Macaca fascicularis: one gene and its partners. The protein of the gene in region 1 interacts with the protein of each later gene in a biochemical or structural test. Links are inferred from orthologs where the notes say so. Each region holds a gene or a part of one and is shown in the gene's direction. Other genes may lie near its edges. The genes, in order: OCRL, RAB31 and RAB8A.

Region 1 (10,914 bases):
ATTTAAATCAACATTGAAAACAAACAACAGTATCTGTGGTAAGACCTGAAGGAAGAGTAAGTTAGAAATAAACAAATACCTAAGTGTAGACCCTGATCTCTCAAAGTACTATATTGACAATTGTAATTTAATAGTCCCCCCAAGTCACCAGTGCTGTATGGACTCCACTGTGACTGTATCACTGGAGCACTGGTTCTCAGTGTCACCTTTGAAAGGATTTAAACACAAGGCATCCATGTAATAAACATCATAAACTCAAATGAAATGCAGAACAATTAAGTGAAGCATTTAGGAAAGGACATCCTTTAACTGTGGGACTCGCTATCAAGTGCCTTCTGACCAGGGGTGTCCCCACTGAGAAGAAATGGAAAATCTTAAGAGATGAAGATCACATTGTACCTGCATGACCAGAATTTGAAGGACTTTAAGTTATACACCAAAATCTCTATTCTGAGACCCCTTTGATTCTCATCCTTTTCCATCTATTAGGAGAAATCCCTTCTGCAAATGGTTCCTTTGGATGAAGGTGCCAGTGAGAGACCCCTTCAGGTCCCCAAGGAGATCTGGCTTCTAGTAGATCACCTATTCAAATATGCCTGTCACCAGGTAAGTGAGAGTAGACCTTCCCTACAACTTTGGAAGGTGTGTAAATACTATAGGAAATCATAACACCTCGCATCAGCATAGCGCTTTTAACTTTCCCAAGCTACCTGCACACAGTGGCACTGTCAGATCAACTGGGTGGGTGGAAGTGTCCCTGGTCACAGATGTCACAGCTGAAGCATGCAAAGCTAAGTTATTTACTAAGACCAAGGCCTAAGTGTAGTCGTGGCAGAGCCAGGACCAAATTAAGAGCACCTGTCTCCTGGCTACTCTCTCGTTTTCCCTGGACAGCTGCACACCTGAGTCTATAATGCCTACTTTGGCTATGAGTCATGTAGGCATTAGAGATTTTTAAATCTAAAGCAGATTTTAAACCCATTTTTTAACTTGGTCCTAGTTTTTCTTTTAAATCCTATCTAAAATGCCACCCCAACTCATTCACCCCCAAAAGAGACATTTCTTGGGACTAAATTGAAAGGTAATGTTCTCTTACCTACTGAAGAATAATGTAACTTGAAAGCAAGGTTTAGTATGAGCATGCAATTTCCTCCTTCCCCAGCGTTCAGTAGTACTAGCATTTGAATGTGGTTATTCTGTTTGGACTCTGCCTTCTGCTCCTTGTCAAGAGGCTGCAAGTAGGCCAGGCACGGTGGCTCATGCCTGTAATCCCAGCATTTTGGGAGGCCAAGACAGGCACATTGCTTGAGCTCAGGAGTTCGAGACTAGCCTGGGCAACATGGTGAAACCCCATCTCTATTAAAAAAAAATTTAAAAAGAGGCTAGAATTAGAACACCTGGTTTCTTGCTCTAGCCATCTGGTCCCCTGCCTTATCAGGTGTAGGCTAAAACCTTTGGAAAGAACATTTTCTTATTTGAAATAACATTTCACATGGATTAGAGAAATGCTAAAGGAAAAATGTGCTATTTTCACACCTCCATTTGTAATTATTAACACACATACCACCCTTCCCTTTTGCTTCCTGCTGCTCTTCTGATCCTTGGGTAATCATCATAACCTCAGGAGTGATTATCTTGCCTGTTCCCTTCATTCTGACTTCTTTGGTAGGAGGACCTGTTCCAGACCCCTGGAATGCAGGAAGAACTCCAGCAGATCATTGATTGTCTGGATACCAGCATTCCTGAGACAATCCGTATCCTTTGCGACCAAAGCATAAGAAGCTGGATGAGTGCTTGGTCAAACTCTTCTTCGCACCTCTATTTGCTTTTTGTGGTTCTATATTTATTTTCTTTGTAATGTCTTTTATTGTAGGATAACCACTGACTATCCACTTGTTTCTCATTTCCTTTTATGAACTTTTGACCTCTTTCCATATCCAGCTCTTACTAAAAGGAAGCAAGGGGTAGATAACAATGACTTAAAAAGCATGGGACATAGAAGCCACAACGCTGGTACTATTCTCCTTCAGGTGATCAGTCACTCCTGCCACCACACGTACTGTTGACAGGGCAGGGAGAAGGATGGGAAACATGGGCAACTGGTTTATAGGACTGCTTCAGTGTCAACTGTCACTCTGCAGGCTATATTCCCCTGACCCTGAAGCTGGGCCAAAGCTGCCAAGAGTCTTTGACCAATTCTGTAACAACTCAGCTGCAGGGCACTTGAATCAATAAAATATCAAGCCCCCATTAGGATCAGTGTGCCCCAAATAAGAGGAAGGAAACAGTCCCTGCAGGAGCTTGAGGAAAGGAGCCCGTCGGGGCTCTGTGTGGCCTTTCTCCTGGAGCCCCTTTCCCTTGACTTAAGTTGATTCAGCTGGCAGCAACCACTCTGTGGCTGAAGCACTGCTCATTTTCTTGGAAGCCCTGCCAGAGCCAGTCATCTGTTACGAGCTGTATCAGCGATGTCTTGACTCTGCTCATGATCCCCGGATCTGCCGACAGGTGGGTTCCACTGACCTGAGGATGTGTTTGACGCAGGTTCCCCCATAGAGAAGTCATCAGTTTTACAGAGCCAGATAGGCAGCCAGCTGTCTGGTAGGATGGGTCTGGATCTGTTATTAGTGGCAGGACACGAACATTGAGGGTTGCTACCCTTAAATTTTAGGTTGTGTTATTTCCTATGATATTTGCCACCTTTTCCCCATTGGCCTATTTCTGTTTACAGAAAACAGTGGGGTGGATCCCTCTACTCTAGGGTAAATTGGTGAAGCTGATTGTACATGGAATTCTGGCTGACATTACCAGGAAGGATGGGTGACACTTGGGAGCCTTTCTTCTTTTTCTCTTCTTGGTGTGTGTTTTTAATCCTGAAATGATTTTAATGCACAGTAACTGAGAGTACCTGTGAATTGGACTAGTGAGTATTGGGAGGAGTCCCCATCCATGTTAAGTGACATTGTAAAGAAAACCATTCAGCTTGGTAGGTGCCGTGGCTACATGCCTGCGGAAATGGGAAAAGAGCAGATGAACACCGACCTATTGTGAGGCGGGGTGTGCGTGTGAATGTGTGATGACCATGTGGCCTGGTCATTGAGTGGACGGGGACCAAACAGCACGGCCGTTCTTACTTTGAAGTTATAATTTGGAAGGTGTTGTGTTGGCCATGAGGAGATAATAGAAGTTGATAGATGAAACGGGTCCTGCAAGAGTTGGATTATAGACTACTATTAATGGCAGCTGTAAGTTCCTCTTACTTTCATCTTCCACCTGTTTTTCTCACTGCCTACCCCTATTTTTAAAAACAGGTGATCTCCCAGCTTCCGAGATGCCATAGAAATGTTTTCCGTTACTTGATGGCATTCCTTCGAGAACTCTTAAAATTCTCTGAATACAATAGCGTCAATGCCAACATGATCGGTAAGAGTGCTTCATGCAGCATGGGGCATTTGTTGAGAATACTCTTCATGCATTGTATCCAGTATATACCTTACTGCGTGTGCAGGCACATGGCAGTCAACAGTCATTGTCCCCAGGCCCTCCTGCCCTGAGGTTTTGCTTAGGTTATGTCTGACAAAAGTTTCCGCTTGTCTTTCTGTCGTCTTCTAGCTACTCTCTTCACTAGTCTTCTCCTGAGGCCTCCACCCAACCTTATGGCAAGACAGACTCCAAGTGACCGCCAGCGTGCTATTCAGTTCCTTCTGGGCTTTCTGCTTGGGAGCGAAGAAGACTAAGGCTTTTACTATTCTCTGATATTCTAGAAGCAGACGATCTCGGGCTCCAAGTATTTCAGAATGATTTTAAAAGTCATGCCACAGGAAGGGTCTATTGCAGAATTTCAAGTTCTGTTTATAGTAAAAAGGAAGAGTGTTTCCTAATCCCTCCTTTACCATATCCTCCACAGCAAAATACTTTTAGACTTATATTGCCAAGCCAAAGTTACCATATTTTGGTGTTTTTGTGTTTTCTCTTTATAAGGCAAAAAGATCTGTATTTACACTCCTTTACCTAGGGATGTGTTTGTTGCCCTCCTATCCAATTGTCATGATTGTCCTTAGTACCCTAGGCCTAGATTCTGAGATGTTCCCATTCTAGGCCTACAAGCACTACTTGCTGTAGCTGAGACTTGTCTAGAGTCCTTTGTATAATGCACTTTTGACCCACCCCTTCCCGGATCACTCCTTTGCACTCCACTCCCCTCGTTCTGTCACTTTGAACGAAGTCTGAGTGAGGCTAGTGACTCCTTGGGTGTCCTCAACAGTGAGTTCACTGTCTGCGTGCAGTTATTACATGCATTTGTGCATTTCTACTACAATGGCATCTTCATGTCTCTGTAACATTGGCCTTTTCATGGCTCCGCACTGGGTGGAACCATATTCTCTTAGATCACATTTAGTAGCATAACTTTAGGGACTATTAGAGATGGCATCCCATCGATGTGAGAGAATCACAATCAGAATGGAAGCACTTTGAGTATCTGAAGAGTGAGAGCATTCGTGTTTGACAGGTCCTGCTTCCCACTATCCTTTTCCTGTTGTTACTCAAATTTTACAGAAAGACTAATCCTGGGTGTCTCTGAGACCCATCTCCTGCCTAGACATCCACCTCCAGAGCAACACTGGCCCCACAGTAAAAGAGGGAGTCTTGTACCTCAGGCAGGCCCATCTAGAGCTATTGATCCTTCCCACAGCAAAGGTATTGCGGATGACCCTTAGAATCCGTTTTCTGGTCTTCTGAAGTACCAAGGGCAGGTGTTACCTCCTTCCTCAGCGGGACTGACTCTGTGCTCTACAACCAGCTCCTGCACGTAAAGGGTTTAGAGGCTCCCCTTGGCTCCCAGACCATATCCAGTGTTGTGTAAAGAGATTGGCCAATAGGACCAACCAAGCACCTTACCTCTCCCATCCAAGATGACCCTCTGAGCTTTTCATTTATTCAAACTCTGTGATACAGCCTTTTTTAAAAAAATTAATCTATATTGGTTGATGAGCCACCAACCACTGACTGCAAAACTGCCTGATGCAATTGGTTTCCTCCTGGTTTTCTTTTGTTACAACCACCCTTGCCTGTTTACGTTAATTGCAAGGAACATAACGTACAGGCTCTATGTACGATCCTGGGCATTGACTCCATGACATTTCTAGCATATCCAAGGCACCACCAGTGATTTCCCCCATTTCTTGAAAAAAAAAAAAAAAAAGTACGTATTTTGCAATACGGCTAAACGCTTTCCTGATTGAGAGTTAAAGCAGTAGGAGTCAAGTTACTGGTGCGACAGAGCTGGAGGTATGATAGGTCAGGGGCTGGGTGTTGAACTTAGTTAATGGAAGACTGAGAGCAGAACAGGTTTGTCATCTCCGCAAGGCCAGAAAGTGACCACAAAAAGAGGCAGATAATAGACACTGGGGTAGGATCATACCCTAGGGAAATACCTTTCCTGGGCTTGTTTTCTAGCATATCATTGACCTGGGATCTTTGGGTGATCAAGGGTGTGGTTAGTGGAGGCTCTGTGCTGCACGTATGCAGTATCCTATCTCTTTCTACATCAGGTCAAAACACTAAGTTGGTGTACTGCCTCGACCTTTTTACACCTCATCCTGGAACATATACAGGGTTGAGAATTTTAGACAATCTCTAGGTAGAGGAGACAAGACGTAGACCCAGACGGAAGAAATCTGCTTCCCTACCATGCCTATTGCAACACCCCACCTGTAATTCCCAAGTCCTCTAAGGTACTAATTTGTAGCTGCTCTGAAGTAATGATTTCAGATTCAACTGGTAGGGAAAGACTCTGCACCTGCTGTCTTAGGGAAGAAATGGTTTAAATCCATGTGGTGACATTGCGTTAGTCTCCCTTTCACTGTTTTCTTATTCTATAATTGTTTGTTAGATTTCCCAAAAAGTCTTGATCACTAAGCAAAGCTGCTAGTGGGATTCTATATTTCGTGTCATCTTTTTTATTATAATTTATTGCAAATTTTTTTCTGAATAAATATATGTTGTGTGAAAAAGCAAAGTGTGATTTTGGTGAGGAAGCACTCAGGAGGGAGGGCTTATGTGTCACTGGGTTCCATTCGACTTGACTGCAGTCCCCATCAGCTGTGCCTGTACTGTCATTACCTGTCTTACAGGGAAATACCATTTATAAGAATTCTTGGTATATTCACCCTCAGAGATGAGAAGAAACCATGCATTTTCAGAGGCTAATAAAGGCGTCCTATACTTTCAGAGGCCAGCCAAGTACCCTTATTTTAACCCTAAGGATTCAGGCAACAAAACAACTGAATTAGAGGAAAGGACGTTGACTCTTAATGCATGTAAATGTCACACTAGGTCAGATCTGTGATCCCTCCAGCCCCAGAAACCTGACAAACCCTAAGATGCACATCTGGGGAGAACCCAGTTACCCCTGCTCACATAGTCTCAAGATGTGCCTCCCCAGAGAGCCTGTTTTAACATAATCTTATTTTGCAGCTTTTGAAAACCAGTTTTGAACTTTTATGACTTATTGGGGTGATCAAGTCCATAAATTTAGTACTTTTTTGTTGTTCTCATCTGAACTGTCTAACATGTTGGGAGGAAACCCCTGATTTGAGCATGGTGCCAGTCTCCATTATGAATTGGTGGATTCTGATTCCATTCCCTTTGAGGCTGAAGAAGCCACAGCTGGAGGTTTCTTCTCTACTAAGGCCCTCTTCCAATTCCCTCCAGCTGTGAGCTTGACCCTGCTTAATGTGCTGACTCAGTGTTGTCATAAACAACTTTTGAAGCCCCACCCAAAGCCTTGGCAGGAGAAGGTGTTTCTTTCTGAGAGTGATTTTCCCCCCAGCAGATGGACACTGACACCAGAAGTTTTTACATAGCAGCAGGCAATGTGAATAGCAGGCATGGTGGTCTATCTTTCCAGAGGTTAGAGAGGAAATGGCATCCCCAGCTGCTAGGCTTCTGTTATAGGAGACCCAGTAGGGCCTTTCTGATTGCAGTGCAAGTTGAAGAACTGGCTCTTGGTGTAGCCTCATAATGTAAAAGCCACACATTACAACAGTGGCATCACTAAATGTTAGGGAGAGAACCTTAGTGATGACCTAATCTGATCTCATTGTTTGGATAGGGAAAGTCTCAGAGGGGACAATGACTGACCTAAGATTACTTAGGTTAGTGACACTGCATGGCATAGTGGCATTTTTTTTTTTTCAAACAGTTCTACTCTGCTTGCCCATTAATTCCTTTGGTGGCATCTTATCAATTTCCGTGGCTGTAAATATCTGTAATACCCTGATTCCAAATGTTACGTTTCCACCTCATAGCTCTCTTCCGAGTTCCTGCCCAGTATATCCAGTTAGTTAGCTGGCATCTCCCCTCACATGTATCACAGGCATGTCAAGCTTCACATTTCCAAAGTAGAATTATTTTACTTCTGGTTCTTTTACTACCACCCAACTTAGATCCTCTAGCTGTCTCCCCTCAGCTCAGAGAATGTCACCACCATCTGGCCAGTTGCTAGGGCTAAGCATCTAGGAGCTAGCCTTGATTTCTCTGTTTCCTACTGACTGACCACGTCAGCAGCGTGCCCCACACATCTACTTTTCATCACCCCCACTGCCGATTTTATTGGTCAAGGCCACCACCATTACGAGGGTGTTGTAATGGCTTCCTGCCTGGTCTTCTTTTTCTCTTTTTTTTTTTTTTTTTTTTTTTTAAGAGAGGGTCTTACTCTGTTGCCTCGGCTGGAGTGCAGTGGCATGATCGGCTCACTTGAGCAGCCTGACTTCCCAGGTTCAAGCGATCCTCCCACCTCAGCCTCCGAGTAGCTGGGACTATAGGTGCACATTACCAAGCCTGGCTAATTAAAAAAAAAATTGTAGAGGTGGGTTCTCCCTGTGTTCCCCAGGCTGGTCTCAAACTCCTGGGCTCAAGCAGTCCTCCCACTTTGGCTTCACAAAGTGCTGGAATTAGAGGCATGAGCCACCATGCCCTGCCTGGTCTTCCTTTTAGCTTTTCTGCCCTCCAATCCATTCTCCACGCAGCAGGCAGCATGACTTAATTACATCAGTCTCATCCCTTCCCTGTGGATAACCCTTCAGTGACATTTACAATGAAACCTAAGCTTCCCTGTGGCCCACCAGGCCCTGCATCAGTGGGTCTCAAATACTCATGTGCAGAAGAATCACCTGGAGACATTGTTAAAAAGCAGATTCCTAGACTCCAGAAACTCTGAGTAAGTTGGTCTGAGATAAGGCACAGAGTCTGCATTCTAAATCAGGACCCAAGAGCATTTTGATGCAGGGGTGCTTGGACCACACTTTGAGGAATACCACCCTAAAGGATCTGACCTCTGCCTACCATAAGCCTTCCTCACCCCTGCCACTATACTCTGATACTGTCCTTTTACCCCTCCCGGTGAGCTGAACTCTTTCTAACCTCAGGGCCTTTGCATGTGCTGTTTACCCAGAAAACTCCTTCCTCTCTCTCTCTTGCCTCAGTCCCCATCTTTGCTGTGCCTAACCATAAGTCACCCACCCTGTCCCATTGACTCTCTGCCCTCATTCCTGGGCTTTCTGGTACAACGTTCTGGCTGACTGCCCCTGGACTTGCCATGTACTCTTCCACAATCTTCCTCTTCCTCTCTTGATGACCTCACGTACCTGTTCCACGGGGCCTAGGGAGGCAGAAAACTATAGTGGTTCTTCACATAGGCTCCAATGACCAGACTGCCTGAGTTCAAATCCCAGCTCTGCCACTTCCTAGATATGTGACCCTGATCAAAAGTTAATTGACGTTTCTGTGCCTTGGTTTCCATGTCTTTTCTCCCCAGCTTTATTGGGTATAATTGAGAAGAAAAATTGTATGTATTGAAGGTGTATCCACATCTTAAAAGTAATGATAGCACCTTTCCTCGTAGTATCATCATGAGGATGAGATCAGTTATACATTTCCAGGCCTTGGAACAGTGCCTGGTGCCTAAGTGCTAAATAAATGGCAGCTAGTGGAGTTATTCCCAAGCCCTCCATTGACTTCCAGGCCCAGAACCCACTTCTGCTGCCCTTCAGCTCCCAGCAGATGACTGTACCCTTTGCTTTGTGAAAATGTCGAAACAGTCTTGCCCCCTGCACATCAAAATGTCTCCAGCTTAACTTCATCTCTCCCTCTTTCCATCTGTCTGAGAAATAAGCGGTCTTCCTCGCCAAGACCAGCTCCTCCACCTGCACTTTTGAGCCCTTCTCCTCCACCCTCTCTGGACTTTTCCCCCTCAACCATCACCCCTCCTCTTACATCTCAGTATGGGTTATTCATTTAACAAGTATTTGTTGAGTGGCTCCTGTGTGCCCCATGCTGTTCAAGGTGCTGAGGATCTAGAAGTAAACCAGATAAGGTTGCCGCTCTCATGGTGCCTTCATCAAGAGGGCAGGGCAGGGCAGGGATGAGGGTGGACAGATATGCAAATTAACAGTACCCAAGGTCACTACAGATCCTGACAAGTACTGTGGAGAGTATCAAACAGGGGGATGCACTTGAGGGTACAGCGGGGGGCCTTGGTCAGGAAAAGTTGCTTTGAGGAGGTGATGTTTTAGCTGAGACTTAAACCTCAGGAAGCCAAGGCACCATATCTTGATTTGAATACCCACAAAAAGAGCCACACGTGCAAGATCTGGCAAAAGACATTCGGAGCAAAGGAAAAGACAAATGCAAAGGCCCTGAGGCAGCAAAACAGCTGGCTGTGCTCAGGGGACAGCCAGGCAGAACTCCGTGAGGAACAGGACTTGCTGGACAACAGGCGAGCAGGAACGTGGTCACAGAGGGCCTGAGGAACCTCGGGCAGGAGCTTGCATTTCATTCGACACCACAGGAGGCCATGGCTGCCTTTACTCAGGGAAGCGACGTGACTTCTGTATGCTCCTTCTCCTAACTTTAGAAAGAGTAATAATAACTAATAACCCTAGCTGTCATTTATCCCAGGTACTAATACATTTAATATCACTTTAGCCTTTACAATAGGCTGATAAAGTACTACATTATCCCACCTTTTTATTTTATTTTATTTTATTTTTGAGACAGAGTCTAGCTCTGTCACCCAGGCTGGAGTGCAGTAGCGTAATCTTGGCTCACTGCAACCTCCGCCTCCCGGGTTCAAGCGATTCTCCTGCCTCAGCCTCCCGAGTAGCTGGGATTACAGGCATGTGCCACCACGTCTGGCTAAGTTTTATATTTTTAGTAGTGACAGGGCCCGGCTAAGTTTTGTATTTTTAGTAGTGACAGGGTGTCACCATCTTGGCCAGGCTGGTCTTGAACTCCTGACCTTGTGATCCACCCGTCTTGGCCTCCCAAAGTGCTGGGATTACAGGTATGAGCCACCGTGCCCGGCCATTATCCCACTTTTATGGGTGAGAAAACAGACTCAGAGAGATGGCGTAACTTGGTACTTAGCTAGTGGCTGACCAGAAAATGACTTCGGAGCCCAGATTTGTGCTCTTAAACACAGCCACTGTCTCCCCAGCTGGACTGGGCATGAAGGTGAGGGCGCTCCTTAAAACCCCTATCCCTTCTAGCTACATCCCAAGATTTCATGTCAGCTAGATTGCCTGCTGGCAGGTCAAATTCAACTTTTCTTTGACCCTGACCAGCTTCTCCTGGCATCCTCCTCTCTCCCATCACCCAGGCCTAAGCTTTTGGTTATTTTTGGCCCCTGCCCCACTTTCTAATCAGTTACCAATTGCAATTCAACAAATATTTATCCAGCACCTGCCAAGTGCAGGCTACCATGCAAGGTTCTGAAGGAAACCAAAATGGGTGAGACTGGTCGTTACAAGACAAGACAGACATAATATTTTTGTTTGCTTTGTTTTGTTTTATTTGAGACAGAGTCTCACTCTGTTGCCCAGGCTAGAGTGCAGTGGCACGATCTTGGCTCACTGC
Region 2 (9,122 bases), on another chromosome or scaffold:
AACATCACACATCTTTTTACGATGTAATCATTTATAAGTGTCTCCTTATTTTTACTGGTGTTCCTCCAATTCTAATTGAACATGTTTTAAAATATTTATTGGCAATTTATGTCTTCTGTGATTTACCTATATCTATGTCTTTGTCCATTTTTCTATTAAGCCATCTTTTTCTTACTGACTTTCAAAACCCCTCCAGGATACTTTTTTTTTTTTTTGAGATTGAGTCTCACTCTGTCTTCCAGGCTGGCGTGCAGTTTTGCAATCTTAGCTCACTGCAACCTCTGTCCCCCGGGTTCTAGCGTTCCTCCTGCCTCAGCCTCCCGAGTAGCTGAGATTACAGGCATCTGCCACGCCCAGCTAATTTTTGTATTTTTAGTAAAGACGGGGTTTCATGATATTGGCCAGGCTGGTCTCAAACTCCTGACTTCAGGTGATCCTGCTTGCCTCAGCCTCCCAAGTATTGGGATTACAGGCGTGAGCCACCACACTCGGCCCCTCCAGGATACTTTTTAATTTAAAAAAAAATGCAGATTAAGACTGGACCCTTCTCCAAAATACATATGAAGTGCATGCATTCTGAGACTAATGAGCTCCCCTGTCTGGGGATGAACGATGCTAGTGACCAGCGGCACTTGCTTTGTTAACATTTTGGAATGGAGCTCCTCTGCTGTCTTGTCATTTGTGGACCTTAGGTAGGTGAGGAAGCCCCACGTTGGAGAGGTGGCAGCCCTCCAGACCCGAAGCAGCTGCTGCCAAAGCTGCCCTTGCTGATTGGTCTTCATTAACGGCTCAGCAAGGGTCCTGTGATCTTTGCTAGTGTTCCCTTTCCCTCTCCTTGCCATACTTCTTTCCTTTACTGCTACATAATTCTAATGAGATTGCCCTGGGTCGGTCAGTCATATTGGAGAAATGATGAGCAGCAGAGAAAAGAACATTCACAAGATGGTAACATTTAAAATAAAATTTGTTTTTGGCTTTTACCCAAGAGTAGATTTCATGGTCAGTAAGCCACAAGTATATATATGTGTTGATGAGGAGGAAAATGTCTTATTTAATATGAACCCTGGGGCTAGGCGTAGTGGCTCACACCTGTAATTACCAGCACTTTGGGAGGCCGAGGCAGGTGGATCACCTGAGGTCAGGAGTTTGAGACCAGCCTGGCCAGCATGGTGAAACTCTGTCTCTAATAAAAATAGAAAAATGATCCAGATGTGGTGGCGCATGCCTGTAATCCTGGCTACTCCGGAGGTCAAGGCACAAGAATCGCTTGAACCCAGGAGGTGGAGGTTGCAGTGAGCCAAGATTATGCCATTGCACTCTAGTCTGAGTGACAAGAGTGAAACTCCATCTCAAAAAAATAAAATAAAATAAAGAATAACATGAACCCTGGAAAAATTAGATGGGGAAGGAATTTAGGGATCCTATAGGGATGATGTAGGATAAAACTTTTATGTTTAATTTGGGATTGAATAAAGTCTGTTCACTTTGGCCTAAAACTGTTCATTGTTCTTAAACAGTTTCATTCATTGGCTCCCATGTACTATCGAGGCTCAGCTGCAGCTGTTATCGTGTATGATATTACCAAGCAGGTAAGACTGTCTCCTTCAGAATTTAGATGTCATTTATGGTGGTTCTCTCTCTTAGAGAGACTGAAGCAAAGACGTCACTGCTTGCGTCTTCCCAGTAGCGTGCCACTATATATTGAGTTTATTTCGTGTATATGTAACAAAGCATCCCATATTTATCTGCTAAATTAAACAACAATGACCATTCATTCTTAAAATTGACTGTAGAGGCAAAGTCATGCCTGCTAGTACTATTCTGCAGAATGTCAGCTTTTAAAGAAAAGGAAAATCGTTTTTAATTTCTGCATGCTTTATAATTACAGAATACTTATTTTTATTAGTGTTTCAATCATACTACTTACTTAAAATGCCAAGCATAACATTTGTGTGCGTGTAAGTAAATCTTTGTGTGTTTGTGTACATATTATATATTTTTAGTTATAATGTTGAAGGTTTTATACTTCCATCAACAAATAACTGCAGTAGTTTGATGACATTTTTTCCCACTCCTGCAAATTGAATTATTTGCTTTTTTTCTCTGGAGTGTTGACTCAGCACATAAGACCATCAGTTTAATGACCCATCACTGTTACCTTCCACGAGTTCCTGACCACTTCTACCTAAATGTGGTGTGTTGCCTTTGACCTGTTTTCTAGAGGACAATTGTGAGTGAAGGGCCAACAGGAAGACAGGACTCTAGAGATATATGATTCTTTCTTGGTGTAAGCATGAGCATTTACTTAGTCCTGTTATTCTTATTCATGCGGAGTCCAGGCAATCATTTTAAGTTAACATTATTTATAGGAGAAAAATCACTGATATGATTTTCTTAACTAGATCAAGTTTTAATTTTAGAAAACTTTACATGGTCTATTAAAGTGTATTTCAGCTAACATTAACTTTTGTGCCTAGACAGAGGTAGTATGTTAATCTGCATGAGTCTCCTAAAAATATTTTTCTCCATTAAATTGTACTGGGCTTGTATTTCTGCTTGGTTGAAATATTATATTGAGGGGTTTTTCTAATGATTTGTGTATACTGTTGGTTTAGGATTCATTTTATACCTTGAAGAAATGGGTCAAGGAGCTGAAAGAACATGGTCCGGAAAACATTGTAATGGCCATCGCTGGAAACAAGTGCGACCTCTCAGATATTAGGTAAGACGCATTTTAATATCTTTTGTGTAGATATTTTTTTTTTTTTTTTTTTTTTGAGACAGAGTCTCACACTGTTGCCCAGGCTGGAGTGCAGTGGCACGATCTCGGCTCACTGCAAGCTCCACCTCCTGGGTTCACACCATTCTCCTGCCTCAGCCTCCTGAGTAGCTAGGACTACAGGCGCCCGCCACCGCGCCCGGCTAATTTTTTGTATTTTTAGTAGAGACGGGGTTTCACTGTGGTCTCGATCTCCTGACCTTGTGATCCGCCCGCCTCGGCCTCCCAAAGTGCTGGGATTACAGGCTTGAGCCACCGCGCCCGGCCCTTTTGTGTAGATATTATCCTCCATCCCTGAATGTCATCCCTGAGTGTACAAAGGTATCATGCCTTTGTTATGTCTGCCCTCAGTGTAATAGTTAATGGCCTTTCACTTGTGGTAGTCAACGTGTCATTGATTCAACCAGAGAAGAAATAAGGGAAAATGATAGGGAAATGCAAATCTGTTGTACCATACAATGATAAATGTTAAAATTATAATTCCTGTACATAACACAGTTACATCCCTGACTCTACATATCTTTGGGCTAAACGGTTTTATTATTTCTATTGTTACTTTTTCCATTTTTATTATCATTATGACTACTAGCACAATTTTAGTAACACTATGGTAATGGTCATCCCTATCGTAATGACCATTAGAATTCTTAAAATTTTTCATGGCATACCTGTTTGTTTTAGTTCTAGATTTTACCTTAAGAATATAGTCAAGTACGTAATCTCACTATTTTGTTCTTAAATCAGAATATGACACATTGTATGTGAGTACCTTGACTTCCCCCAGTGGTACTGGGTTATTGAACTTCCCGTATCTGAAAGGAGGTTGTGGGGATCCAGTACACATGAATTAGAGATTTGATGATAGCTTTGCCTAGCCTGGTAAGCTAGCTATTTTACTAAATAAATACATTATTTAAAAAAGGAAATAGTGAATTTGTGGTATCTCCATTCTCTCGGTTAATTTAATTCTCAGGAATTCTAGTAGCTGATTTTTATAAAGACAACTACATCATACTTCTGGTTTTGCTGATCAAAATGTGATTAAACCAAAGCGAAATAAATAGTCGATGGAAATGGATCTTGCAAAAGCTCTTAACATAGCATTTAACAAATTGTTCTGTTTCTTTGGGATTTCAAAAGTTTGTATCACCTTGCATCTGGTTGGTTTATAATAACAGCCATAAACACCACTTAATCGTTTATTTTTCTGGGATTTGGACAGATCTTCAGACTTCCCAGACTTAGTTCAGATATCCACCTCCTTTACTGTAAACCTCAAACAGCTTGCTTGTCTAGTGTTCCCAGCAGAATCACCTTAACCTTGGTCATGGGAAGGATGAGGTGGGTGTGTAGAGACAACCTTTGCTGAGAGAAGGTGCTATCTCTAAAACCCCCTAATTATGGGACTAATGTGCACCTTTGAGTGGAACCAAGTTTTGTGTATCGTGGGAATGCTGATGGACTAGAATTTAAGCAGAGAACGATTTAAACTTGCATAGTATCAGTTAGGATTCTTGGTTACGTGGATCCAAAACACAATTGAAATTCAGGAGAAAGGGGAATTATTGGAAGGTACTGTTATCCACATGGTAAAAACAGAACTGCCCTCAGCTCTGGCATTTGACATGTTCCAGAGTTAGTCTCTGGAGAGATGCTGGCCTGGCATTGTCTTCATTTCCAGTCTAAAATGCCAGGGAGGAACTCCCCACGTTAAGAACAGGCGTGTGTGGCCAGGAGGGGATTGGTAGTACGAGATGGTATTTCCCAACATTACTATGAGAATGGGAAGGCAGGTGGTCTTGAAGAGGGATAGCTCCTAGAAAAGTGTAGCCTGGCCAGACAAAACTTATCTGTGACATATAGATGTGGCTACCAGCACTCAAGGATACGCTGTGTTTCGGGGTGGAATTCACCTTTTATGCACAGGTACAGCATTCTTCTTGATGAGCGTTCTGATTTGTGCTCAGCTGATTCTTATATGTGCAATTTTCAATGTGCCCCAGCTAACATAATCTATTCATCTCACTTCCAACTGTGAATTAACTTACAGCCTCTCTATCCCAGTGGGAGAAAATGCAGGGCCATCCAGCTGCTACCTGTAGTGGTGGTGTCATGGGGCCACTGTCCCATGCATCCAGCCTCCTTGGTAATATCTTTTCTCCTCTTGTCTGGCCTCAGTGAGGTCTGAATGTGGCTCCTTGAGATCCTGTAGTTGTGTTTTAAAGTGTGGCATGTATATCTTTTGTTATACACAGTTATTTTAGATGGTACGCGTTATTGAATCAGGCAACAAGAAGCTGACTGCCTTTAAAACTCTGATTAGGTCAGTGAGAAAGACTAGTTGGACACTAATTCATTGTAAATTTTTAGACATTTAATATGTTGTATTGAGGTAAATTACAAAACATCACGATCACCTGTTTTAAGTGTACCGTTCAATGACTGTTAGTGTATTTTTAGAGTTGTACAATCATCTCATATCTAATTTTAGAACATTTCCGTCACTCTGTGAAGAACGTCATGCCCATTTATACTCACTCTCAATTTCCAACTCCTTCCAGTCCTGGTAATCACTAATCTACCTTTTTGTTCCCCTAAATTTGCTTTTTCTGGACATTTTGCATAAATGGAATCATACAATATGTGGTCTTTTGTGACCACCTTCTTTCAGTTAAGCATGTGTCAGTGATGCATTCATTTTTATGACTGAATGGTATTTCATTGTATGGATATACCACATTTTATTTATTCATTTACACATTAACATTTGAATTGCTTCTACCTTTTTGCTATTATGAAAAATGTTTCTATGAACAATCATGTACAAATTTTGTGTGGATGTATGTTGTCATCTCTCTAGGCTATGTACCTAGGAGTGGCATTTCTGTGTCATATGATAACTCTTTTTAATAATTTTAGGAACTCATAAACTGTTTTCCAAAGTAACTGCAAGATATCCATATCCTCACCAACATTTATTGCCTTTTTGATTATAGGCATCCCAGGGGGTGTGAGATTGTGTCATTGTGGTTTTCCTAATGACTAATAATGTTATAGTAAATATCTTTTCATATGTTTATTGGCCATTTGTATATCTTCTTTGGAGAAATGTCTCTTCAAGTCCTTTGCCTAATTTTTAGTTGGATTGTCTTTTTATTATTGAGTTGTAAGGGTTCTTTATGTACTCTGAATAAAAGTCTCTTATCAAACATATAATTTGCAAATATTTCCTCTCATTCTGTGGATTGTCTTTTCACAATTTTTACTGTGTGCAAAAGTTTATGTCCAGCTTATCATGTTTTTCTTTTATCTCTTGTTCACAAGTGATTGGCTAAATGGACATCACAAATATTTATTCATGTTTTCTTAGTGCTTACATTTAGGTCTGTCATCCATGTTGAGTTACTTTTTGTATGTAATGTAAGATAGGGGTCCAAATTAATCTTTTTCCATGTGGATATCTAATTACCCCCACACCAGTTGTTGAAGAGATAGTTTCTCTCCCATTGAATCTTTTGGGGTACTTTTGTCTAAAACTAGTCAACCACGAATGTGGTCTTATTTTTTATCCTCTTAACTTTATTAGTTGATCTACACATCTGTCCTGACACTAGTGTTATACTATTTTGATTGCTGTAGCTTTGTAGTAAGTTTGAAATTAAAAATTGTGAGTCCTTCAACTTTGTTCTCTTTTTCAAGATTGTTTGACTATTCTGGACCCTTAACATTTTCATATGAATTTTAGGATCTATTTCTTAATTTCTGAGAAACAAAAGGGAACTTTGATTTTAATAGAAATTATGTTGAGTCTTTAGACCAATTCAAGTGTTAATCCCATCTTAACAATTTTAAGTCTTCCCATCCATCAATGTGAAATGTCTTTTCATTTTATTACGTCTTCTTTAATTTCTTTTAGCAACGTTTTATAGCTTTCAGTTTACAAGTCTTGCATTTGTTTTATTTATTCTTAAGTATTTGATATTTTTTGATGGTATTGTGAATGGGATTGTTTTCTTATTTATGGCATTGCTTTTGGTTAGTGTGTAGAAATACAATTGACTTTTGTATGTTTATCTTGTATCCTATAACTTTCCTGAACTCGTTTATTAATTTTAGTTGTTTTTTAGTAAATTATCTGGAGTTATCTATATATGAGATTATATTATCTGGGAATAAAGACTATTTTACTTCTTTCTTTCCGATATGGGTGCCTTTTAGTTCTTTTTCTTGACCAATTTCTCTGGCTGGAATCTCTAAAACAATCTGGAGTAAAAGTAATGAGAGTGCACATTCTTGTTTCTTCCTGATCTTAGGGATAAAGCATTTAGTCTTTCTCCAGTAAGTATCACACTACCTGGTTTTACATATATCCTTTTTATTCTGTTGAAGAAGTTTCCTTCTGTTCCTAGTTTGTTGAAGGTTTTTTGTCATGATCGAATGTTGGATTTTTTCCAAAACAATTTTTGCATATGTAATTACATGTTAATTGATTTTTGGATGTTAAACTAGTCTTGCATTCCTGGGATAAATCACACTTGGTCATGATGCATAATCCTTTTTATACATTGCTGGGTTTAGTTTGCTAGTGTTTTGTTAAGGATTTTTATGTCTATATTCTTAAAGGATATTAGTCTGTAGTTTCCATTTCTTACAATATCTTTGTCTAGCATTGGTATCAGGGCAATAACAGTCCTATAGAATGAGTTGGTAAGAGTTCCCACCTCCTCTGTTTTCTAGAAGAGTTTGTGAAGGATTGATGTCATTTCTTTTTGTTTCTCTACATCAACCTGGTCTCCATGATGTCAATTCTTTTTTTAAATTTTATATTAGATTTATTTTTTGAAAGATAAGCATTGTGTTTTAAAACACATGACAATACTATATGATAACATGTAAAAAATTAAATGGTTCCTTAATATCAACTATACAGTGTTAAAATGCACTTTGTTTGAATCCGGAAAAATGGAGTCTATACGTTGCAATGAATGGCAGTTACATGTCAATCTTTTAGTCCATGGGTTACCCCTACCCTGCCTTTTTTCCCTTTGAAATTGATTTGTTGAATAAACAGATTCATCTCTCCTACACAGCTTTATGAAGTCTGAATTTTCCTTGTTGTTTCCTAACGGTGTTATTTAACTTTTTCCCCTATGCCCTTTAAATAAATTGTTAGATTTAGACTTGGTCAGAGTCTAACTGTTGGTAATCTATTAAGTGATTATGGTTAGCAAAATGGTGACATTCAAATTCTGTCTTTCCTTCTTCATTTGTTGCATGCAGTGCATCCATAGAGAAACTTCCTCAAATCAACTACAATATTTAATTATACTGAGGTACAGTGTATATGAAAGAGTATGAAAGGGAAGGAAAATGTTTGATATATTCTGTATTTAGAAGGTTTTAAAGTAATGAAATGATTCTATAATACCCTCCCAAATGACCAATTAGGTTTTTTGTTTCATTTTAAAACTCATTAATTTAAACAAACTTTATATCTTTAAATTGCAGGTATTATTTTACTAATGCACAAATTGTCTAGTTTGTATGATGTCAATTCTTTAAGTGTTATCTAATTTGCTGTGTAGTTCATAGTATTCTCTTATAATCTTTTTTTCTTAATCCCACGACCATTTAAATAATCCTTCTAATTTGTGTAAGGTCAGTAGTGATGTCTCCTTTTCCATTCCTAATTTTAGAAGTTTGAAACTTCTCTCTTTTTTTCTCATTCAGTCTAGCCAATAGTTTGTCAGTTTTGTTGACCTTTTCAAAGAACCAGTGGTTTTTAGTTATTTCTTTTCATTGTTTTTCTCTTTCATTTCTTTATCCTCTAATTGTTATTTCCTTCCTCCTGTTTGCTTCAGATTTGCTTTGTTCCTCTTTTTCTAGTTCGCTAAGGAGAAAGGTTAGCATATTTATTTGAGATCTTTTTGAATGTAGGCATTTATAGTTATAAATTTTCCTGTAAGCACTGCTCTAGCTGCATCTCATAGGTTTTGATATGTTGTTTTTAACTAATCTTAAAATATTTTCTAATTTGTGTTCTAACCCGTTATTTATTTAATAGCATATTGTTTAATCTCCACATATTTGTGCAATTCCCAAATTTTGACTTTTCATCATTTCTAATTTAATTCCATTGTAATCTGAAACATACTTTGTATGATTTTAATTATTTTACATTTACTGAGGCTTGTTTTATGGCTTAGTATATGGTGTGTCCTGGGGAATGTTCCAAGTGAGCCTGATGCCACTAAGTTTTTAACACCTATTTTTATACTTGCTATTCTCCCTTAGAGAGAGAAAAATCTAAGATTGAGGGCCCTCTGCAGACAACTGTCTCTAA
Region 3 (11,653 bases), on another chromosome or scaffold:
TGAACCTGGGAGGTGGAGGCTGCAGTGAGCTGAGATCACGCCACTGCACTCCAGCCTGGGTGATAGAGACTCCGTCTCTAAATAAATAAATAAAATAAAAAAGAAATAATCGAAAATGTACAGTTATAATAAAAGTGTACAATTAAAGCATTTCCTTTTGACCAATCCAAACTTTAACTGACACTGGGCTGATATAGACGGTCGGCACAGGGAATGTGAATGAATAAAGTCAACCCCTCCAATAAGGGGCCCGCCATGACTTGAGCGCAGTTCCCACTTTGTGTGTCTGTTTCTCCCTCCTCCCTCCCCACTTGGGTTGTAATCTCATCTCGGGATGCTGTTTTAGTCATGCATATGGCCTCAGCACTTAACACTTCACTGTGTTCAATGGTTATTCAACGGACCTGTTCCAACTTTTGGGGAGTTTCCTAATGCCATGAAGTACGGCTGGAACACAGCATGAGGTTAGAACCAGATTGTGAGGGATATCAAACGCTAAGAGGAAGATTTCGGACTTTATCCTGCCCAGAGACCACGGATGGTTACCAAAGGAAGTGTGTTTTTTAGTTTAGTTTTGTTTTGTTTTTTGAGACAGGGTTTCACTCTTGTCACCCAGGCTGGAGGGCAGTGGCACGATCATGGCTCACTGCAACCTCAACCTCCTGGGCTCAAGCAGTCCTCCCACCTCCGCCTCCCGAGCATCTGGGACTACAGACGTGTGCCCAGCTAATTTTTGTATTTTTAATAGAGACAGGGTTTTGCGATGTTGCCCAGGCTGATCTCAAATGCCCGACCTCAAGTAACCTGGTTGCCTCAGCCTCCCAAAGTGCTGGGATTACAGGCATGAGCCATCATGCCTGGCCTAAAGTAAGTGTTTTAGAATAAGCACACTGCAGGGTGGAATCTGGATTAGAGAAAATGCTCAGGGAGACCAGTGGAGAAATGCAATGATTCCACTGTGGCAATGGAAATGGAAGAATGCAATTCAAGAGCTATTTTTTTTTTAATGTTTTATTTTTGAGAGGGAGTCTTGCTCTGTCGCCCAGGCTGGAGCACAGTGGCACAGTCTCGGCTCACTGCTACCTCTGCCTCCCGGATTCAAGCCATTCTCCTGCCTTCAGCCCCCCGAGTAGCTGGAATTACAGGTGCCCACCATGCCTAGCTAATTTTTTGAATTTTTAGTAGAAACGGGGTTTCACCATGTTAGCCAGGCTGGTCTCAAACTTCTAACCTCAGGTGATCCGCCCATCTTGGCCTCCCAAGTACTGGGATTACAGGCGTGAGCCACCGTGCGGGCCCTCAAGAGCTATTTAGAACCTCCTTAAAAACCAGAATGTGACAGATAAGAGATGAAAGGCAGCTGTCAAAGATGGCTTAAGTTTCACTCCCAAGGAAAATCAGGACAAGCCAGTCTGGGTATTAGCTGATGAGTTCAGTTGTGAACATGCTGAGCCAGGAGTATCTCACAAATCAAAAGGGAGACGTCCAGAACGCAGGTAGACGTGAAGAGACGGCTGGGCTAAGGATGAAAAACGAAGACTGGTCAGAATGGAGACATTAGGAGACATTAGGAGCCCCTAGAAAGTGAGAACAGAGACAGAACAACAAGGAACACAAACGCTGAGAGACAAGCAGAACCTCCCCACAAAAAGACTGCAATGGGGTCTGAGAAAAAAAAAAAAAAACAACCAAAGAAGGGGAGGCAGAGGCAGAGGTGGCAGGGAGAAGAAACCAGTAAATAAAATAGGGACAGGGCCGGGCACAGTGGCTCATGCCTGTGATCCCAGCACTTTGGGGGGATCACTTGAAGTCAGGAGTTGGAGACCAGCCTGGCCAACATGGTGAACCCCCGTCTCTACTAAAAATACAAAAATTAGCTGGGCATTTGGTGGCGTGCACCTGTAGTCCCAGCTACTTGGGAGGCTACGGCATGAGAATTGCTTGAACTCAGGAGGCGGAGGTTGCAGTGAGCCGAGATCACATCACTGCACTCCGGCCTGGGTGGCAGAGTGAGACTCCGTCTCAAAAAAAAAAAAAAAGAAAAGAAAAAAAGAAAAAAAAAGGCCAGGTGCAGTGGCTCACGCCTGTAATCCTAGCACCGAGATAGGTGGATCACTTGAAGTCAGGAGTTCGAGACCAGCCTGGCCAACATGGTGAAACCATGTCTCTACTAAAACTACAAAAATCAGCCAGACGTGGTGGCGGGCACCTGTAATCCCAGCTACTCAGGAGGCTGAGACAGGAGAATTGCTTGAACCCGGGAGGCAGAGGTTGCAGTGAGCCGAGATTGCGCCACTGCACTCCAGCCTGGGCAACAAGAGTGAAACTCCATCTCAAAAAAAAAAAAAAAAAATGGTATAGGGCCAGGCATGGTGGCTCATACCTGTGATCCCAGCTTTTTGGGAGGTGGAGGCTGGAGGATCGCTTGAGCCCAGGAGTTTGAGACCAGCCTGAGCAACATAGGGAGACCCCATTTCTACAAAAAATTAAAAAATTAGCCAGCCATGGTAGCATGCAGATGTAGTCCCAGCTACTTGGGAGGCTGAGGTGAGAGGATGGCTTGAGCCCAGGAATTCCAGACCAGCCTGGGTAACATAGCAAGACCCCATCTCTACAAAAAATAAACAAAAATTAGCCATGCGTGGTGGTGCATGCCAGTGGTTCCTGCTACTCTGGAGGCTGAGGTGGGAGAATCACTTGAGCCTGGGAGGCGGAGGTTGCAGTGAATGAAATCACACCATCACTCTCCAGCCTGGGTCACAGAACAAGACCCTGTCTCAAAAATAAGTAAATAAAATGAGGATAATACCAAGAAAAAAGAATATTCAGAGGTGGTCAAGAATATTAAATACCACAGAGGCTGAGGCATGTAAAGTGGTCAGTGTCTCTGGTTGAAGCTTTTCTTAACCAGAGCTAGATTAGCAGAAGAATGAGCTGAAGTGGAAGGGAGGAGGAAAAGCTGGACCCTCCTTCCACAGATTAAGTGAGCCTCAAGGCCCCGGAGGCCCCAGAGTGACCTAAAACAGACTGGACCATCTCTAAGAAGCAGCGAGCCCTAGTGATCAAACTGCAGCCTGGGAAGCTTGGCATTCTGAGTTCAGATACCAAATTCCCACTTTTAAGCGGGAAGGGGGAAAAAGTCATTTAACCTCCTGGCTTCAGTTTTCTGACCATCAAACAAGAAAAAACCAATAACATCATTTTGCTGGGCTGGTACTGGGATTAAAATTTTAAGAGTCAGGGGCCAGGCAGGGGGGCTAACGCTTGTAATCCCAGTACTTTGGGAGGTGGAGGCAGGCAGATCACGAGGTCAGGAGTTCGAGACCAGCCTGGCCAACACAGTGAAATCCCATCTCTACCAAAAATACAAAAAAATACACCACGCCAGGCGCGGTGGCGGGTGCCTAGAATCCAAGCTACTTGGGAGGTTGAGGCAGGAGAATCGCCTGAACCCGGGAGGCAGAGGTTGCAGTGAGCCGAGATCGCGCCATTGCACTCCAGCCCTGGCGATCATGGGAGACTCCATCTCAAAAAAAAAAAAATGTCAGGGTCTTGCTCCGTCGCCCAGGCTAGAGTGCAATGGTGCGATCACAGCTCACTGCTGCCTTGACCTCCTAGGCTCAAGGGATCCTCCCACCTTAGCCTCCTGAGTAGCTGGGACTACAAGCATATACCACCATACCCGGATAATTTAAAAAAAATTTTTTTTTGTTTTTTTGAGACGGAGCCTTGCTCTGTCACCCACACTGGAATGCAGTGACATAATCTCGGCTCACTACAACCTCTGCCTCCCGGATTCAAGCGATTCTTGTGCCTCAGCCGCTGGAGTAGCTGGGACTACAGGTGTGCACGACCACATCCACCTAGTTTCTGAATTTTTAGTAGAGACGGTGTTTCACCATGTTGGCCAGGCTGGTCTCGAACTCCTGACCTCAAGTGATCTGCCCACCTTGGCCTCCCAAAGTGCTGGGATTACAGGTGTGAACCCCCTCGACTGGCCAAAAAACTTTTTTTTTTTTTTTTGCAGAGATGGGGGTCTTGCTATGTTTAGCCCAGGCTGGTCTCCACCTCCTGGCCTCCAGTGAACCTCCACCTCAGCCTCCCAAAGTGCTGGGATTACAAGCGTGCTAATCACGCCCAGCTAATTTTATTTGTTGTAGAGATGGGGGTCTCCCTATATTGTCCAGGCTGGTCTCGACCTCCTGAGCTCAAACAATCCTCCTGCCTCAGCCTCCCAAAGTGCTGGGATTACAGGCCTGAGCAACCACACCCAGCTGCAAGCCCGATTTTCCTAATGTATCTCTCCTCTTTTTCTTTTCTTTTTCTTTTTCATTTTTTTGAGACGGAGTTTTGTTCTGTTGCCCAGGCTGGAGTGCAGTGGCACGATCTTGGCTCACTGAAAGCTCCGCCTCCCGGGTTCACGCCATTCTCCTGCCTCAGCCTTCCGAGTAGCTGGGACTACAGGTACCCGCCACTACACCCGGCTTTTTTGTATTTTTAGTAGAGATGGGATTTCACCGTTAGCCAGGATGGTCTCGATCTCCTGACCTCGTGATCCGACCGCCTTGGCCTCCCAAAGTGCTGAGATTACAGGCGTGAGCCACCGCGCCCGGCCTTTTTCTTTTTTTGAGAGGCTTCTCGCTCTGTCGTCCATGCTGGAGTGCAGTGGGACGATCACCGCTTACTGCAGCCTCAAACTCCTGGCCTCCCAAAGCACTGGGATCACAGGTGGCAGCCACAGCCCCGGCCTGTTTTTTCAGTGTTGAGAGTCCTGGCCCCTAGATAGGAACAAGCATCCTCACTGTTCTAAAGCATCCTCACTGTTCTAAACCCCCCGGGCTGGCCCGGACAACTCCTAAAGCGGCCGAGGGCGGACCCTGAGGAGGCCGGCGCGCGCTTCGGGGCACAGCTTGTGGCGGTGAAGCCGCTCAGGTGGCGGAGGCCTTGGGTATCTGTAAGCAGGTCGCTAGGCCGCAGACCTCGGAACTCGTCTTGAGTCACTTTTATTTATTTATTTATTTTTGAGATGGAGTCTTGCTCTGTCGCCCAGGCTTGAGTGCAAAGGCGCGATCTCGGCTCACTGCAACCTCCGCCTCCCAGATTCAAGCAATTCTCTGCCTCAGCCTCCCAAGTAGCTGGGATTACAGGCGCCCACCACCACGCCCGGCTAATTTTTGTATTTTTAGTAGAAATGGGGTTTCACCATCTTGGCCAGGCTGGTCTTGAACTCCTGACCTCGTGATCCACGCGCCTAGGCCTCCCAAAGTTCTGGGATTTCAGCCACCGCGCCCGGCCCGGGTCACTTTTCGAGTATACAGTGTCTCCTCTCTCCTTCCTCCGTCGGCCCCCGCTGCCCCGACTCGGAGGCCGCAGATCAGGTTGAGAGCGCTACCATGGTTTCCCGCGCTCGCCTCGGGGCCTATTGCGCCTGCGCGAGTTGTGACGGCGGGACCCAGAGATACCCGCCCCAAGTACAGGATTGCGCCCTCTGCCGTCGCCTAACGGAACTCCGGGCGCGCGTGAGCACGCACCCCAAGCCCCGCCCCCCAGGCTGCCGGCGCGCGAGCCGTTGGCGACGCTCCCTGCGTTCCCTCTCCTGTAGTGGGGCGGGGCCGGGCCGCCCGAGTAGGGGGTGGAAGGCGGGGGCCACATAATGCCACGCCCCCGCCTCGTCCCCATTTGAAGCCCCACGACTCTTCACTGCTGGTCAATCAGAGCCCGTCCTCTCCCTAGTGCCGGCCAATGGGAGGTGCGCTCGGGCTGCTTCCGGCTCCGCGCTCCATTCGCCCCCTCCCCAGGTCTCCCCGCGACTGGCGGGACGCAGGGGCGGGCGTCGGCCGCGGTGACGCGCAGCGGGCCTGGAGCCAATAAGGGGCGGGCTCGGCGCTGATGGACGGTGCTGGTGGCCAGTGGAGAGGCGCTGGCCGCACTTCCCGTCGGGGAGAGAGTGTAATATGGCGAAGACCTACGATTACCTGTTCAAGCTGCTGCTGATCGGGGACTCGGGGGTGGGGAAGACCTGTGTCCTGTTCCGCTTCTCCGAGGACGCCTTCAACTCCACTTTTATCTCCACCATAGGTAGCGGGACCGGGGAGTGGCTGGGGGCGCCAGAGGCCCGGGCTGGGCGCGCCCCTGAGGGGCTGGGGCTGAGGGATCTACCGGGCTGGACTGGCCGAGGGCGCTGAGAGGGTCGAGGGGGCCTAAGGGGAGAAGAGCAGTCGCCTGTACCGCCGTTCGGGGGTTCCTGGGCCGTGGTGGGGGAGACCAGGTGCCCATTTTGCAGATGGGGAGACTGAGGCTCCGACCCTCAGCCCGCTCGTTAGGGAGTGTTATGTCCTGGGCTGGGGTCTTCGCGCCCGTCCTCTCGATCTGTCCTAGCAGCAGCCCTCAAAGCGGTTCTTTTGAGGCTCCTGCCTTACAGAAGTGGAAACTGAGTCATGGGGAATTGGCCATGGGAAAAAGACGGTAACATCTCACCTTAATGAGCATTTACTATGTGCCAAGTGCTTCCCGTGCATTTTCACACTCTCCAGTTCTCGGTGTTAAGTGCTGTTTTGAGCCCGTCTCACAGATGAGGAATTTGAGGCTCAGGGTGGGCCTGGAACTTGCCCAAGGCCACACAGTCTGCAGGTGGTGAGAATGGGATTTGATGGAATTTGAACCTGGCTGTGTCTCAACCCAAAACTCGAGGCTTAGCTATCCTAGAGAGATGCCACCTCACACTCCCAGCTGATGACAAGCTCAGCTAATGCACCTTGGAGCCGGAACTGTAACCCACACCATTCCTGCTCTTTTCTCTGGAGCATTCAGAAGTTGAACCCCTCTCCCTGACCATTCTTCCCCTCATAAGTGTATTTTCCTCTAGAAGGAATGATAAGAGGAGTCAGGACCTTTTCCCTGCCCACATTTCATCCTGCTCCAGGATGACAATAATGACAAGTGACAGCACTGCCTGCCCTGGAACCTGTCATCTGCAAGAAGATGCAAGATAAAAGCCTCAGCGAGCAACTAAATCAGCCACTGCCACAGACAGCCTTGACTTCCCTATCAAAGGGCCCAAGACTCCGGTTGTCACTTTAGAACAGCTTTTCCCGTAGGGCCAGCCCACATTGTGGTTGAACAGAATTGGCTTGGTGCATCTCAGTTGTGCCGTCTGCAGAAGTGGAACTGACCTCTCTCAGTGCCACAAAAGCAGTCCTGGCCCACAATGAAAAGGTTAGACCGGGGAGTAACACCAGTCTGAGTGGCCTGGGAGCTCTGTAGCCCTGCTAGGGATGGGGAAAATGGGGGAACGGTCACTAAGGAGTTTATTCCAAGTCACGAAAACGTAGGGAATGGCCTTTGCTTTACTGTGTCACTTCAACAGAATCATGTTTTCTCCCTGAACCCCACGATAATGTGCTGATTCCATTCTTGCCCCCCTCCAGGAGCTGTGCTTTTTTTATTTTATTTTATTTTATTCTATTTTATTTTATTTTATTTTATTTTATTTTTTGAGATGGAGTCTAGCTGTTTTGCCCAGGCTGGAATCCAGTGGTGCTATCTCGGGTCACTGCAACCTCCGCCTCTCGGGTTTAAGCAATTCTCCTGCCTCAGCCTCTCTAGTAGCTGGGACTATAGGCACCCGCCACCACGTCCAGCTAATTTTTGTATTTTTAGTAAATATGAGTTTCACTATGTTGGTCAGGCTGGTCTCAAACTCATGACCTTGTGATCCACCTACCTTGGCCTCCCGAAGTGCTGGGATTACAAGCATAAGCCACTGCACCCAGGATAGCTGTGCTTTATAAAACAGTTATATGCCTGATGTAAAGTAGAGAGAACTGACTGGAAATCGTTACGTCTGGTTTCCAATTGCTGTTTGCCCTTGAACATACACTGCCCCTCTCTGAGCCCTGCTGTCTTTAGAGCAGGAGTGACGCTGTCTCCTGGGCTAGTGCCCTGGTGGTTGAGGATTAGAATTAGACAATAAGGGGTTATCACCGTAACCAGAGGCCATCTCGAAGAAGCAAATGAATGAATGGCTCCTGCAGTGACAGCATCCAGCCTCTGAAGACAGATGGTTCTGAATTCTTCCCCCTCCCCAACTCCAAGGCCAAACTTTAGGGTAACTCTTGTGCCCCAACCGATCAAGAAGTGGCGTTAATTCAGCCTGGGCAACATAGCAAAACCCCATCTCTATAAAAAATAAAATAAAATTAGCCGGGCATACTGGCTTACCCGTATAGACCCAGCCACTTGGGAGGCCAAGATGGGAGGATTGATTGAGCCCAGGAGGTCAAGGTGCAGTGAGCTGTGATGGCGCCACTGCACTCCAGCCTGGGCAACAGAGCGAGACCCTATCTTAAAAGAAAGAAAGAAAGAAATTATGTTAACTGTGGGCAGACTGTGGCTTGCCTTCACTCAGATCCCAGTTTCCCGGCCTCAGCACCTTCCCCACAAACCCCCCCTCTTTTTTTTTGAGATGGAGTCTCGCTCTGTCACCCAGTCTGGAGTGCAGTGGCATAATCTCGGCTCGCTACAACCTCCGCCTCCCAGGTTCCAGCAATTCTCCTGTTTCAGCCTCCTGAGTACCTGGGATTACAAGTGCCCACCACCATGCCCAGCTAATTTTTGTATTTTTTTTTTTTTTTTAGTAGAGACAGGGTTTCACCACGTTGGCCAGGCTGGTCTCGAACTCCTGACCTCATGATCCGCCCACCTTGGCCTCCCAAAGTGCTGGCATTACAAGCATGAGCCACTGCGCCCAGCCCAGACCCCCCCTCTTTAGAGTTACTTTGAGCTTTAAAGAGGCTGTCTTCCATTTGCAGATGAGGATGTGACTTGGTGAAAGTTACCTAGCAAGGTGAAGGTGGCACCTGACCCCAGGATCCCTCCCTCTCACCCCTTCATTCCCCTCCTTCCATTTGTAGCCTTCTGTCTTCTAGGAATTTCTTTTTTTTTTTTTTTTTTTTGAGACGGAGTCTCTGCCGCCCGGGCTGGAGTGCAGTGGCCGGATCTCAGCTCACTGCAAGCTCCGCCTCCCGGGTTCACGCCATTCTCCTGCCTCAGCCTCCCAAGTAGTTGGGACTACAGGTGCCCGCCACCTCGCCCGGCTAGTTTTTTGTATTTTTTAGTAGAGACGGGGTTTCACTGTGTTAGCCAGGATGGTCTCGATCTCCTGACCTCGTGATCTGCCCGTCTCGGCCTCCCAAAGTGCTGGGATTACAGGCTTGAGCCACCGCGCCCGGCCTCTTCTAGGAATTTCTAATTCACCATGACCTTGAAGTTCAGGCCTCATAATTCTTAGGCCTCATAAAGTTTACACTTCGTAATTAAATTTGGCATGTTAATAAAACCCAGAGGAGTGTAGGGCGGAGTGCTGCTGTGGAACTTGGCCAGCCTAGCAGTGCTCCTCGATTTTGTGTGTCCCTGTACACGCGTGACAGGAAGTGGGGAATGTTTTAGGAAGCCTAGGCACACTGGGCTGTCTAGTCCTGAAGCAGAATCACCTTGATGCTTAAAGGTGATTCCATAAATTAGCCAGACGTGGTGGCGCTTGCCTGTATTCCCAGGTACTCGGGAGACTGAGGCAGGAGAATCGCTTGAATCCAGGAGGCAGAGGTTGCAGTGAGCCAAGATCGTGCCACTGCACTCCAGCCTGGGCAACAGAGCAAAACTCTGTCTCCAAAAAAAAAAAAAAAAAAAGGTGATTCTATATTGGCTGCGGGCACCTCTGGGTTTTTCTTTATAGACGAAGATTGAGTGGCTGTTCATTTTCTGCCACTCAATCCTTAACATTTTGCCAAAAGTTCCATTTCATCAAAGCCTATTCTCAGAAGTCCCATCGATTATTTCTGGTGTGAACTTGGCCCTGTAGTTCCCTGGAATGGGTTCTCACCAGACTGGCTCGGCGCCACTGCCTCCTCAGGAGTCCATTCATTCCTCCAGTGAGAGGGTTGACATTTGAGAAAGTGCTTTGTGAACCACTCAACACCACGTAGACCCTGTTGCGCTTTAATTCTTTGATCCAGCCATATTTTGCCAGTGCCTTCTGTGGGCCAGGCAGCCGCTTTGGCACGAGGGCTGCAGAGAGGACACAAGTGAGTTAAGGTGCCTGCAGGACTGGGGTACCAGCTTCTAGCAAATGCATATTCAGCCTCTGTGTGTTCAGTCACTGGAGGTAATAGCAGCGGATGAGACTTGTCAGATACCTGCCCCCAGGGAGCTTACGTTTGAGACGGCGAAATTCCAGTGCTGAAGCTGACTGGACAGAATTAGCATTCCCAACCTGGGTTCAGAGAGGCCCAGCCAGGCCTGGGCCTCGAGTCTTCTCCGGCAGGGATTTGACCAAACCCCTGGTGGCAAAGGCTGGGTCTGGCTGTTTCTCTCATCCACATGGGCCAGTATGATCTGCAAGCATTATGCCCAGGTCCATGCAGGAGATACATAAATGTATGTCAGCTATGTTAACAAATAGGTAAAGGGAGAACGGATGAGGATGGTCAGGAAGGCTCCCCTGCGGAGGGAACTTGAATGGGAACCTGAACGAAGGGATAGCCAGGTAGCTACAGAAGGAAAGAACTTTCCAGGGCAGGAAAGAGCAAACATCAAAGCCCCCAGACAGGAGCGTGCTTGGAATGTTGAGGGAAATCGCTGTGTGGATGGTGTGGCCGGAGCGAGCAGGTCATGAGCCAGAGTGCTGAGAGGTGACCAGATTAGGCAGGACCTCGACACACACGGGTACCTGTTTCCACTTTATTCAAGGGAAGTGGGGCAGGGAAACCACTGAAAGATGCCTTAAAAAAAAAAAAAAAAAAAAAAAACCCCGCTTTATGAGGTAGAATTCGCATACTAACATACAGTTCACCCATTTGCAGTGTACAATTCAGTGGCTTTAGATCCATTCACAGAGTTCCACAACCATCACCACAGGCAATTTGGGAACATTTTTATTATGCCAAAAAGACACCAACCCAAGGCCAGACACGCACGGTGTCACAGTGGCTCACACCTGTAATCCCAGTACTTTGGAAGGCCAAGGTGGGCAGATCACGAGATCAAGAGATCGAGAACAGCCTGGCCAACATGGTGAAACCCTGTCTCTACTAAAAATAGAAAAATTAGCTGGGCATGGTGGCTCATGCCTGTAGTCCCAGCTACTTGGGAGGCTGAGGCAGGAGAATCACTTGAACCCGGGAGACATAGGTTGCAGTGAGCCGAGATCGCATCACTGCACGTCAGCCTGGTGACAGAGAAACTCCGTTTCAAAAAATAAAAAATAAAATAAAGACACCAACCCTTCCAATTTCCCCATGTTCCCCCAGCCCCAGACAACTGCTAATCAGCTTTCTGTTCCTATGGATGAGCCTATTCTGGACATGTCTGTTAATGGAATCTCATACTAAGTGACCTTTAGTGTCTGGCTTCTCTCAGCATCCTATCTTCAAGGCTCATCCACATTGTGTAGCATCGAGAGTACTCCGTTCCTTTTTATGACTGAGTCGTATTCCGTTGTATGGTTGGACCACATTTTGTTCATCCATTCATCTGTTGGTGGACACACTAGAAAGTTTGGAGCAGAGGGCCGGGTGCGGTGGCTGATGCCTGTAATCCCAGCACTTTGGGAGGCCGAGGCAGGCGAATCATTTGAGGTCAGGAGTTCGAGACCAGC

Evidence for each region.
Region 2: the proteins of OCRL (region 1) and RAB31 form a complex in vitro, tested with the Homo sapiens proteins (2 studies listed by BioGRID and IntAct, with this or other methods). The link is inferred for Macaca fascicularis from reciprocal best matches to the Homo sapiens genes OCRL and RAB31.
Region 3: the proteins of OCRL (region 1) and RAB8A form a complex in vitro, tested with the Homo sapiens proteins (2 studies listed by BioGRID and IntAct, with this or other methods). The link is inferred for Macaca fascicularis from reciprocal best matches to the Homo sapiens genes OCRL and RAB8A.

What each region holds. Positions count from the first base shown.
Region 1 is NC_088395.1:135,858,399-135,869,312, forward strand, and holds the end of OCRL (inositol polyphosphate 5-phosphatase OCRL), read left to right. Parts: intron 1-489; coding exon 490-606; intron 607-1,669; coding exon 1,670-1,754; intron 1,755-2,377; coding exon 2,378-2,505; intron 2,506-3,308; coding exon 3,309-3,420; intron 3,421-3,609; coding exon 3,610-3,734; 3' UTR 3,735-6,011; downstream 6,012-10,914. UniProt on the Homo sapiens protein: Catalyzes the hydrolysis of the 5-position phosphate of phosphatidylinositol 4,5-bisphosphate (PtdIns(4,5)P2) and phosphatidylinositol-3,4,5-bisphosphate (PtdIns(3,4,5)P3), with the greatest catalytic activity towards PtdIns(4,5)P2.
Region 2 is NC_088392.1:78,162,918-78,172,039, forward strand, and holds part of RAB31 (ras-related protein Rab-31), read left to right. Parts: intron 1-1,517; coding exon 1,518-1,589; intron 1,590-2,615; coding exon 2,616-2,722; intron 2,723-9,122. UniProt on the Homo sapiens protein: The small GTPases Rab are key regulators of intracellular membrane trafficking, from the formation of transport vesicles to their fusion with membranes.
Region 3 is NC_088393.1:16,421,835-16,433,487, forward strand, and holds the start of RAB8A (ras-related protein Rab-8A), read left to right. Parts: upstream 1-5,935; 5' UTR 5,936-5,954; coding exon 5,955-6,078; intron 6,079-11,653. UniProt on the Homo sapiens protein: The small GTPases Rab are key regulators of intracellular membrane trafficking, from the formation of transport vesicles to their fusion with membranes.